Drosophila melanogaster: one gene and its partner. The protein of the gene in region 1 interacts with the protein of each later gene in a pairwise test. Each region holds a gene or a part of one and is shown on either strand. Other genes may lie near its edges.

Region 1 (4,377 bases):
GCCGCCACAAACGAACGATCGCTGCTGGAGATGTAGGTTTGAAATTCGCGCAGAATGAGCGAAATACTGCCCGCCGAGGCCAGATTGGTGAGAATATCCAGCTTGAGAAGCTTTATGTGCGTGGGATCGCTGGTGCGCACAAAGAACGACTTGAGGTGCGGCTCAAAGATCGCCTTTCGTTTGGTGGACATCGAGGCAATGCAATTGAGGACCACGCTCTGAACCTCCTTATGCGATCGCAGCAGTCGTATCAGCGCCTTGGCAATCAATTGCACTTCGTTCTTGGGAGCCACATGATGATAGAGCTGCGCCACTGCCATCACCACGGAGGCATTTCGCGATTGGAGCAATGGTTTCGTTTGCCTCAACAGCAGGCGGTGATCCACATCGATGTGGTAGCTGTTGCTCGGAGAACTGGGTGTTCTACTGCCATTTCCTCCGCCATTGTTTTTATTGTTCGTACTCGACTTGTTTTTTTCGTCATCGCTACTGCCATCATCGCTGTGGGAAGAGGAGTGCGAGGATTCGTCGTAGAAGCGTTCACTAACGGGCGTTTCGCCCAGGCCATCGTTGACCAGATCCTCATCATCCGCATTGGGATCAACGAACTGAGTGCGCGCATAGCGGGTCAACATATTAATGATGATCACCTGACCCCATTCGTCCACATCCAGCAGGAAATTGCACAGCTTGCGGTAGTTCTTGTGTATCAAATCTACACGTTCCGGACAAACCTACGAATAAAGATCCGTCGTATATAGAGGATAAATGTTTTACTTTAGCTGCAGACCCACCTCGTCGAAGGCCATCACCGCTGATCCCACCACTAGAGTAGTGCGATCCGATAAAAGCTTCTCAATGACCATGACCAGTTCATCCTTTTGATCCGCGTCCAGAGAATACAACTTGGGGATGGCATGTGCCGCTGTTTTCCGCACATATGGACTCAAATCGGCGGCGCTATCCCGAATGGCCAGCATTACGATTGGCACAATCATGCTGACCCTTATGGAGGATAACACTCGCAGAGCCGAGGCGCGAATAAGTTGATTGGGATCCTTGAGCGCCCTCTGAAATGTGGAAATGGATAGCAGGGCCAAGTCCTGCTGCTCCTCGGCGTATCGCACCAAATAGACGTAGACCAACTTCTTGACCTCGATATTCTTGGACACCACATTCTTGACGACTGCCGGGAACAGATCACTGGCATCCCGTCCGCGGGCAATCATGCCAATGATGCGCTTCATGGCCTCCAGCTTTAGTCCATCCTTGTTGCTGTCCAACATTTGCTTGAGATCATCATGCTTGCGTCCATCGGATTGGAAGAAAGCTGCTCCGCTGGCAGGATCCGCTCCGAATTCGACGTCCAGTCCCATTTGGGGCCGCTCCACATATGTGGACATGGCGAAGGGATTGCTGGCCGAGTTCTGCTGCATTCTTGCAAAGATTCCCCCGGATTACCCAGATTTCGGTTGACCACTTGACCTTTTACTTTCCGTGCTGATGATTTTTTTTTTCCTTTTTTTTTGTGTGTGGGAGTTGGCAGTTTTCCCTTTCGGTTTTTGCAAATGCGTCCAATGTGAAACCTTTGTTCCTGATGTTGAATCCTCAAGACGATCTGGTGGTCAGCTGCTCGTCCTGCCACGCAGCTTGCAAGTTTTGCAAGGGATACTATTATTTATGCCGAAATTCTGGCCAATTTTTGCATTTTTTTTTTTAGCTTTCTGTTTCCTAATGGTGGGCAACTGTCGATAGTCGCCGATTAACACATAGCACAAAAATACTAGAACACTTTAACTAACTGTGATGGAATGCACCAAGAGTTTTTCATATAGGTACGCACATAAATAAAGTAATGTATTAGTTACGATATCCAATACTTTAACCGAAACATTTCGCGGCATTCATGTTGCTTTTGAATTTTTATGAGTTGTGAGTTTTTTGTAGTGATCCGTTAAAAATTCGGTATCGCGTGTCGCGTGCACCTATCGATGCCGAATCTATCGGAAACTGCTGTTCTTCGATATGCCCTATTTGTCTACATCTATCGGAGTATATCGAATCGACTACAACTACGTGGCTGCAGTGCGTTTAATAGCGATTAAAACCAGGCCAAAAGTACTAAGACAAACGATGGAATCGACACTCGCCAAGGTGCTGCTCCTTGTGGGCAGCCTGCTGATCCTGTGCCGCACCAGCCACGCCTTCATCGTCAGCGTGGACGCCCACAATGAGGAGTGCTTCTTCGAGAACGTCGAAGGCGGCACCAAGTTTGGTACGTGAGCGATATGGATTTTCGGTCAATTGACAAGGGATCTATGCTGATAAAATGATGGTGACTTTACAGGCGTCACCTTCGAGGTGATCGACGGTGGCTTCCTAGACGTGGACATCAAGATCAGCGGCCCGGATAACCATGTGATGCACGAGAGCGAAAAGGAGTCGTCCGGCAAGTACACCTTTGTGGCCCCCGCCAAGGGAACCTACACCGTGTGCTTCAACAACGAACGCAGCAGCATGACCCCCAAGCTGGTCATGTTCTCCATCGACGTGGGTGACGCACCGCAACGTGCGCCCGGAGCACCCGGCGAGGAGGAGGTGGGCCACACCAAGCTGGAGGACATGATTCGGGAGCTCTCCGGCACGCTGACCAGTGTCAAGCACGAACAGGAGTACATGCATGTGAGTGAAGAGACGAGGTGAAGATGGAGCATCCAGCTGCCACATAATCATGATTGGGGGTTTTGGAAGAGTTTAACATGTAGCAGAATTAGGGGTACATGGAATATGGGAGCAATCGAGTAACTATTGCCACATAGTCTGGCATGCCTCCAGCATTACTTGTACAGATCCACGTCGCAAGATTTAAGAGCGGAGTCGGTAGACTTGTTCGAGGGAATGGAGCTGCTAGCTGCCACATAAACAATAACTAGTAGCGATTTTCAAACACTCATGTTTTCACCATCGGTTATAATCAGTATTGACATTATTTGTGAAGTAATCCACGACTAATCCTCCAATTTCTTTACTCCCTCAGGTGCGCGACAAGATCCATCGTTCGGTGAACGAGAACACCAACTCGCGAGTGGTGCTGTGGTCCACCTTCGAAGCCCTCGTCCTGGTCCTGATGACAGTGGGCCAGGTGTACTACCTGAAACGCTTCTTCGAGGTCAAGCGCGTCGTGTAATCCCGAGCGGAAAACCAGGATGGAAGTAGCAAAGGAAGGCGGCACACGAAGCTCTGGGGGAAATGTGTGCGCAATGCGTTGCAGTCTCAGATTTAATTTAAATGATTAACATCCTTTTGTAATTTAAATAAAATACCTTGTAAAAAGTAATTAGTGCTTGAAAGTATGTCGATCATGTTTCTGTTTCGAGAATTATTAACAGAGATTGCTATATTAGAGAAATTAATATATATATTTTTTTTTAATTACCAAATATCTCTTAATGGAAACAGAACAGCAAATATTTTCAGACACACATTCAAGGGGGGAAGAGACACTTGTGAACTTTCGAACTAAATTGATAAGAACCATTTGTTTTCTAATAAATGTAGGTTGACAAGAGAAAAGTTTGTTTGCAACTTCGAAATGGAAATGGATTCTATAATAATTTCGAAATATCTGAATGGAAATAAAACAACTTTTCAGAAGCTATATTAAATTCGTTTCAAATCTTTTTGAGTGTTGGGTAGTTAATGTGACAGTGGAAATAAGTTATTAAATCTGACGTCGGTGTGCAGCACTGGATCGTCCAGTGACAGTTGACATATATTCCTATCAGCGGCGAACTTTTTTGTCCGGACTCCTAAAAGTGACTCCAAAAAGTGCGATGAGATCTTTTCTTTATATGCTCTCCCAACGTCCCAAATTGGCATGTTTGTGCGGAAAATCTATTATCATATGGCCTGGTAAACGTACAAATCTGCCGGAAAATGCTTTCACTCAGCGGATGCTTCAAGAATGTGGCCAAATGGCAAAGCCGGACGCTTCGGTGGATCTCGATAATTTCAAAGCTATTTCGGAGCAGTCTCCCGCCGAGGTATACTCATTGGAATTGGTTTCGCAAAATTGTCTTCTGACATTGATATAATCCCCCCACATTAGTTTGGCATCGATTCCTGCCGAGTGAAGGCACAGCCGGAAGATCGAAGTGACCGCATACGGGAACAAATCGCATCCGCCTATCCGGTGATTCACGAACGGACCCTCCTACTCTTTATCAGCTTCTTAGAGCACAAGCTCACGTTCGGTGGGTACAATCACAATCGAAAGAATTTATATTTTCTGGTCATCGTTTTACAGGCAGCGAGCAGGAGAAGGCCATCTACAAGGACATGACTGTGGTTGACCTTGTGCAGCGCCTGCTGGCGAAG
Region 2 (5,155 bases), on another chromosome or scaffold:
ATGTGAAAGAAAATAAAAATCTCACAAATTATTTATTAATTACCCAGCGCAGCCTTGCTCAAAAGATGTGAACCGAGTTTGAGACCAACTGTAGGCATTTAATAGTGTTTTCAATTCTCTGCTTATCGGTATTGTAAATTTTAAATTTGCTCCTCAGCTTCCATCTCAGTTCTTTCATTTTCTCTTTTTTAGCACAATAAAACAATAAATCAATCACAGTTAGGGCTTGTGTAGTTTTGTTATCTTTAACCAAGTTTTTAGTGTCTTGTTAGATTTTTTGTGGGGCCGAAATTTATGAACACTGTAAATATACTGTAAAAAAGACTTGATGGATTTAGTTATGAATTTATAAAATATTATTTTTTTTCTTAAGGGTATGTATTATTATGTTTTTCTTGTATTTAAAGTTGTCTTAAAAAAAATGTAGTGACAAACGACTTATATTGATAATATAAATCTTACAATTAACTTTTTCGTTTTTAAACAAATTCAATAGTTTTTATATTAAAGCTGAATGCTTACAGGCAACCTTAAAATTTAAAGTGTAAATTTTTCAATATTTTTCGTTAAAGATCTGTTAACTACGATGAAAGAAAATTCTATGACATGTTTTCTGCCACGCATAAATTTATGGGGAATTGTTTCAGATCAAAGCAAAAGATGAGGGCTGCTTAGACGAACTACGAAAGGAGAGACGAATGGATGGGTAAGGCTTCCAGGAGTATTTAAGGTCTTCATTTTTATGGGTCGGCAAAGTCAATTAAATAAAGAACACAGTCGAAAATCAACAAGCTGTGGTGGAAATGACCAGCAAAAGATAGAGATACTCACTCAACGGTTGAGTGAATTCGCTCCTTCATACTTTCACTCACATTCATTCACAATGGCGGTCCAAGTTCTCTCTCCCTTTCTCATTTTAGTGGGCGTGGCCTTGCCCTCTATTCCACATCCCATTTCATTCCTATGAGATCTCACCGTTTTGTCTGAGTAAATTAAAATTGTGTGTAGTTTATTATTAAATGAAGCGCATTTTTGTATTTGTATGTGGACCACCCGTCTGCCTGTCAGAGTATGTGTGTGTGTGTGTAACACCAGCAACAGCGGTATTTTTATATAGATAAACATAAATATAATTCGTTGGCCGTCGGTGGGTTAACAATCCTCCGGCCCACCGACGGGCACATAATAATATTAAAATGTTAATTAGCGTATTAATTCAGTTCGGTGATGAAAGTGTGAGCGGTACAAAACGTGATACATACATATATATGTTGGTATGCTGTGCTGGGACTCACATTTCTGAAAATAATTTATAAGATAATCTAGAAAAAGGTGTCTTTGGTATATGGTTAAAAAAAATCCTTAAAATATAGAGTAATTAAAAAATAAAACTATATAGGCATATTCTTTACAGTTCGCGAATTAATAACATTTCACATATTTATGTTATATTACTTAAGTACAGAATTTTGTATTAAATTAATTACAAACAAACATTTAAAAAAAGTGTTGAAATACTTCTACTTTAACCTATAGTTTCTCGTTTACATTTATAGCTCTCATTTATCGCCAGCGCAATTTTTAATTATTTAAATGAATAAGTCCAACGAAAAAAGCTGCCAGCTTCGTCTCAATATTTATAGCTTTTTAAACAAATAAACGGAATTCGCAGTCGACAAAAAGGCCACCCACAATCCAGCGACCCAGGGAAAAAGCCATGAAAATGCACTCAGCCTCAAGGAAACAGTTGGCCAGAAAAGGACAGATGGTGGTGCAAGCGAGACAAAGCACACCAAGAGTGCCAGGATAAGTTCCCGTTTCAGTCCCAGGCTCCAATCCGAATCCGAAATAGTTGATTTTAATGATGTACATAATAAAATTCCCATTCGTTTTGTGCCAATGCCACTGCGTTCCAGTCTGCATTTCATGTTTACACTGATTGTGGAACACTCTTGTGGGCGAGAAAGAGACACATCGATATGGGGGAGCAAGACAACCATATACGACTCTCTCCCTCGCGCGCTCTAGAGATGATGCTGCGAGTGGAAGTGGAATCGGAATGCGGAGGGTTGAAAGCCGTACCCCCAACCAAAAACCGAAACTGAAATTGAAACTGAGATTGTGCGACTGAGGGCCAGTCGAGTCAATTTCGAAATCATTCGTTAGTCGTAGGCCTAAACAAGCGGACACGCGCGGGTCTTCATTCACTACGATATTTTCCGGCCACGGAGTTACCCATATAGCCTGATCTCGTTCAAATCGATTATGCCAAGTGTAGTTTCTTAAAATCTAAGAACGATTTGAACAATAAACGTTTTCGTGCTCAACCGTTTGACAAAATCGGTTTCGTGCTTGTGCTAAAAAGGATTCAAGATCATTTGATCATTTGATCTTGAATATATAGATTTACGTGTTTTAATCGTATCGTGATCGGAAAATATTAAAAACCCTATATAAATATAAATACTGCGTACATCGGAAACTGAAGTGCTGACATTATAATTGAAAACAATTCAAGCAAAATACGTAGTTAAACAAAATTTCCAAAAAATTATTAAGGAACTCAATAAGTTTTATAAGCATAAAGCAGGATATCCCCTTAAATAATTTTTTTGGTCTTAATTACATAGAAGTAATTAATCAAAAATATTTGAACAAAAAGCTGCTATTGCTTAAATACTATTTATAACCAAACTGAAAAGCCTAAATCGTTAAGATTCGATCTTCTCCGCGTGAATACCTATCCGTAGACCGATCCCAAGCTGGGTAGTCCATTCCTGAGCATTACGCCGGCGGGTGGCAGCAGCAATCCCTCGCCCACGCCTCCACCGCCAGACGCCAAGGTGGCGGCCAAGCAGCTGGCCCAGAGCTTCCAGCTGTCCGCCAATTCCGCCTTTAACTTGGCCCTTCCGCCGGCATTTTACCGAGCACCACCGCAGCAGCACCCGGAGTGCCTGGACTACGGCCACGAAGCGCCCGAGATGGATCTGATAAATCCGTATATGCGCCATCATAGTTTTGCGGCCGCCGCCCAGGGAAGTCCCCCGTCGGCGGCTCAACGTCATCATTTGGCGGCGGCCATGAGCAATGGCTTCGCGGATGTCCATGCCCATGCGATGGCGGCGGCGGACTATCAACAACAGTTGGCCGATTACCACAGTGCAGCGGCGGCAGCGGCCGTTTATGCCAACAACAATAATAATAATAACAATAATAGCAGTAACAACAACAACAGCAGTCCGCTAATGTTGCTAAAGGCGGCACATGGCGGAGGTCTCAAGGATTCGGACTCGCCATCGACGACACCGCCACCCGCCTCTTCTAGACTCCATTCTGACTCCTCGCCATCTCCGCGATACGAACACAATTCCAGTCCCGGTGTGGACAGTGCCAAGTCGTATGCCTTGAGCCAGAGGAGCAGCGGAGCGGAGGATCCATGCCAGACCAGCGAATCCGCCAGTCCACCGCCGCAGGGCCAGAACGACTACAGTCCCGAGAATCTCAGCAGCCAGAGGGCAAAGTTCCAGCACCATCATGGAGTGAACCCACTGGCTTTGCACAATGCCAACCATGCCGGAAACCCCGGATGTCACAACAACAATAACCACATGGACCACAAGCTCCCACTGAGTTTTCTCGGTCCCCCGCTGGCCGCTCTTCACTCGATGACCACGGAAATGAAGGGTCAAGGAGTCGGTGGATCGTCGGCGTCGGCAAATGGCTTGTCCTATAGCCACAGCCCGAATTCGCATTTGATCAGTGATCGCGGATCCGGTGGCAGCTCATCGTCGTCCTCCACCACGACTACGAACACCAACAGCCAGGGTGCACCCAATCCGCACGGCATCGATACCATCCTCTCCAAACCACCGCCGGTGACATCGGCGGGTCTAAGTGCTTTAACAGGAGGTGAGTAAAGGAATGGATTTAATATGGGTTGGGTTTATTATATATTATACCCTGTTATTTTATACCAATTATATTAAGGAAGAAAGTGTATAAGGCCATGATTTGGGGACTTTTAATAAATTTCGAACTTCTTAAAGATGTTTGTTAAAACACACATTTTAATAATGCATAAAATAAAATACATAAACAATGGTTCTTGTTTTTACAATTTTATTGACATAAATCTAAATTTGGAAAAATCAAAATATTCCATTTAAATTTAAGCGCTTTCCAAAAAGTTGCTATATGTGTTGCTTAATGCTGAAGAACTTTGCTCTAATTTGAACGCATAACTATTAAACTTAATTGCATAATAAAAATGAAATAATAATACGCTACCTGTTTATTTACAATTGTCTCTCCCAATTCAATGCACCTAGTCATTATGCAACACTGAAATATGTGTATATATGTACATATGTATCAGACACGAATCAATAGATATTTTGTATGCACCGAACTCAAAAAGCCAAAGAAAAAAAGAGATATATTTTAAATGCTTCAAAAACTCGTTTCGCAAACCAAACAGAAAAATAAAAAGGCAATCTCGTCGAACAAAAACGACCGAAAATTGTTGTTTTGTTTACGAATCCGGTTTGGCATGATTCCATATGATTCCATGATTCAATAAAAGCCATTCCCCAGCCCACAACCCCCCTGTCATTACGCCCCCTGGTCGCTTTACCTAATCAGGGCAATTTTGGATATTGAGCACACCGTTTTCTACGAAACCCAAAATGGTTATAATATCCAATTGCAAAATTACCACATAACGTAATGAGATACGCGTTTTAACGTTAAAATTTGCAGCAATTAGTTGTCAAATTGTTTGTAATTAAATCAAAATGACACACAAAAAACGTGGTCTATATGGAAAATAAATGGTGGAGGGGATCTGAATCTGTGACGCTGTCGTTTCACTAAAATGATTTGGTTTTTCAGCCACTCTGCGTCGCATTTTTTGTACTTTTTCACTCAAATGTAGACCAATTGTGTGACATGACAGTGGTTTGAAAGGAGGGGGCGCGGTTGACAGGGTGATGACAATTTGCCATAACATTTTTAATTATTTTTAACGAGGGCGTTTATGTGATTTGATTCGTTTATTTGGGTTTTTCTTTAAACGATTCGGTCACCAGAAACGTAACTCATTCTTTGACAAATTATTTAATGGTCTTTAATTAATTCGAACAAATTCCGTATTGTG

What was found.
Region 2: the proteins of CHOp24 (region 1) and HGTX interact in a two-hybrid assay, tested with the Drosophila melanogaster proteins (one large-scale study listed by BioGRID).

What each region holds. Positions count from the first base shown.
Region 1 is NC_004354.4:4,538,870-4,543,246, forward strand, and holds CHOp24 (CHOp24), read left to right. Parts: upstream 1-2,038; 5' UTR 2,039-2,133; coding exon 2,134-2,275; intron 2,276-2,347; coding exon 2,348-2,682; intron 2,683-3,037; coding exon 3,038-3,187; 3' UTR 3,188-3,637; downstream 3,638-4,377. Other genes in the region: rb (ruby), read right to left, coding at 1-734, 795-1,436; CG3568 (uncharacterized protein), read left to right, coding at 3,834-4,043, 4,109-4,253, 4,307-4,377.
Region 2 is NT_037436.4:14,596,540-14,601,694, reverse strand, and holds the start of HGTX (HGTX), read left to right. Parts: upstream 1-2,154; 5' UTR 2,155-2,759; coding exon of another isoform or gene 2,760-2,981; coding exon 2,982-3,909; intron 3,910-5,155.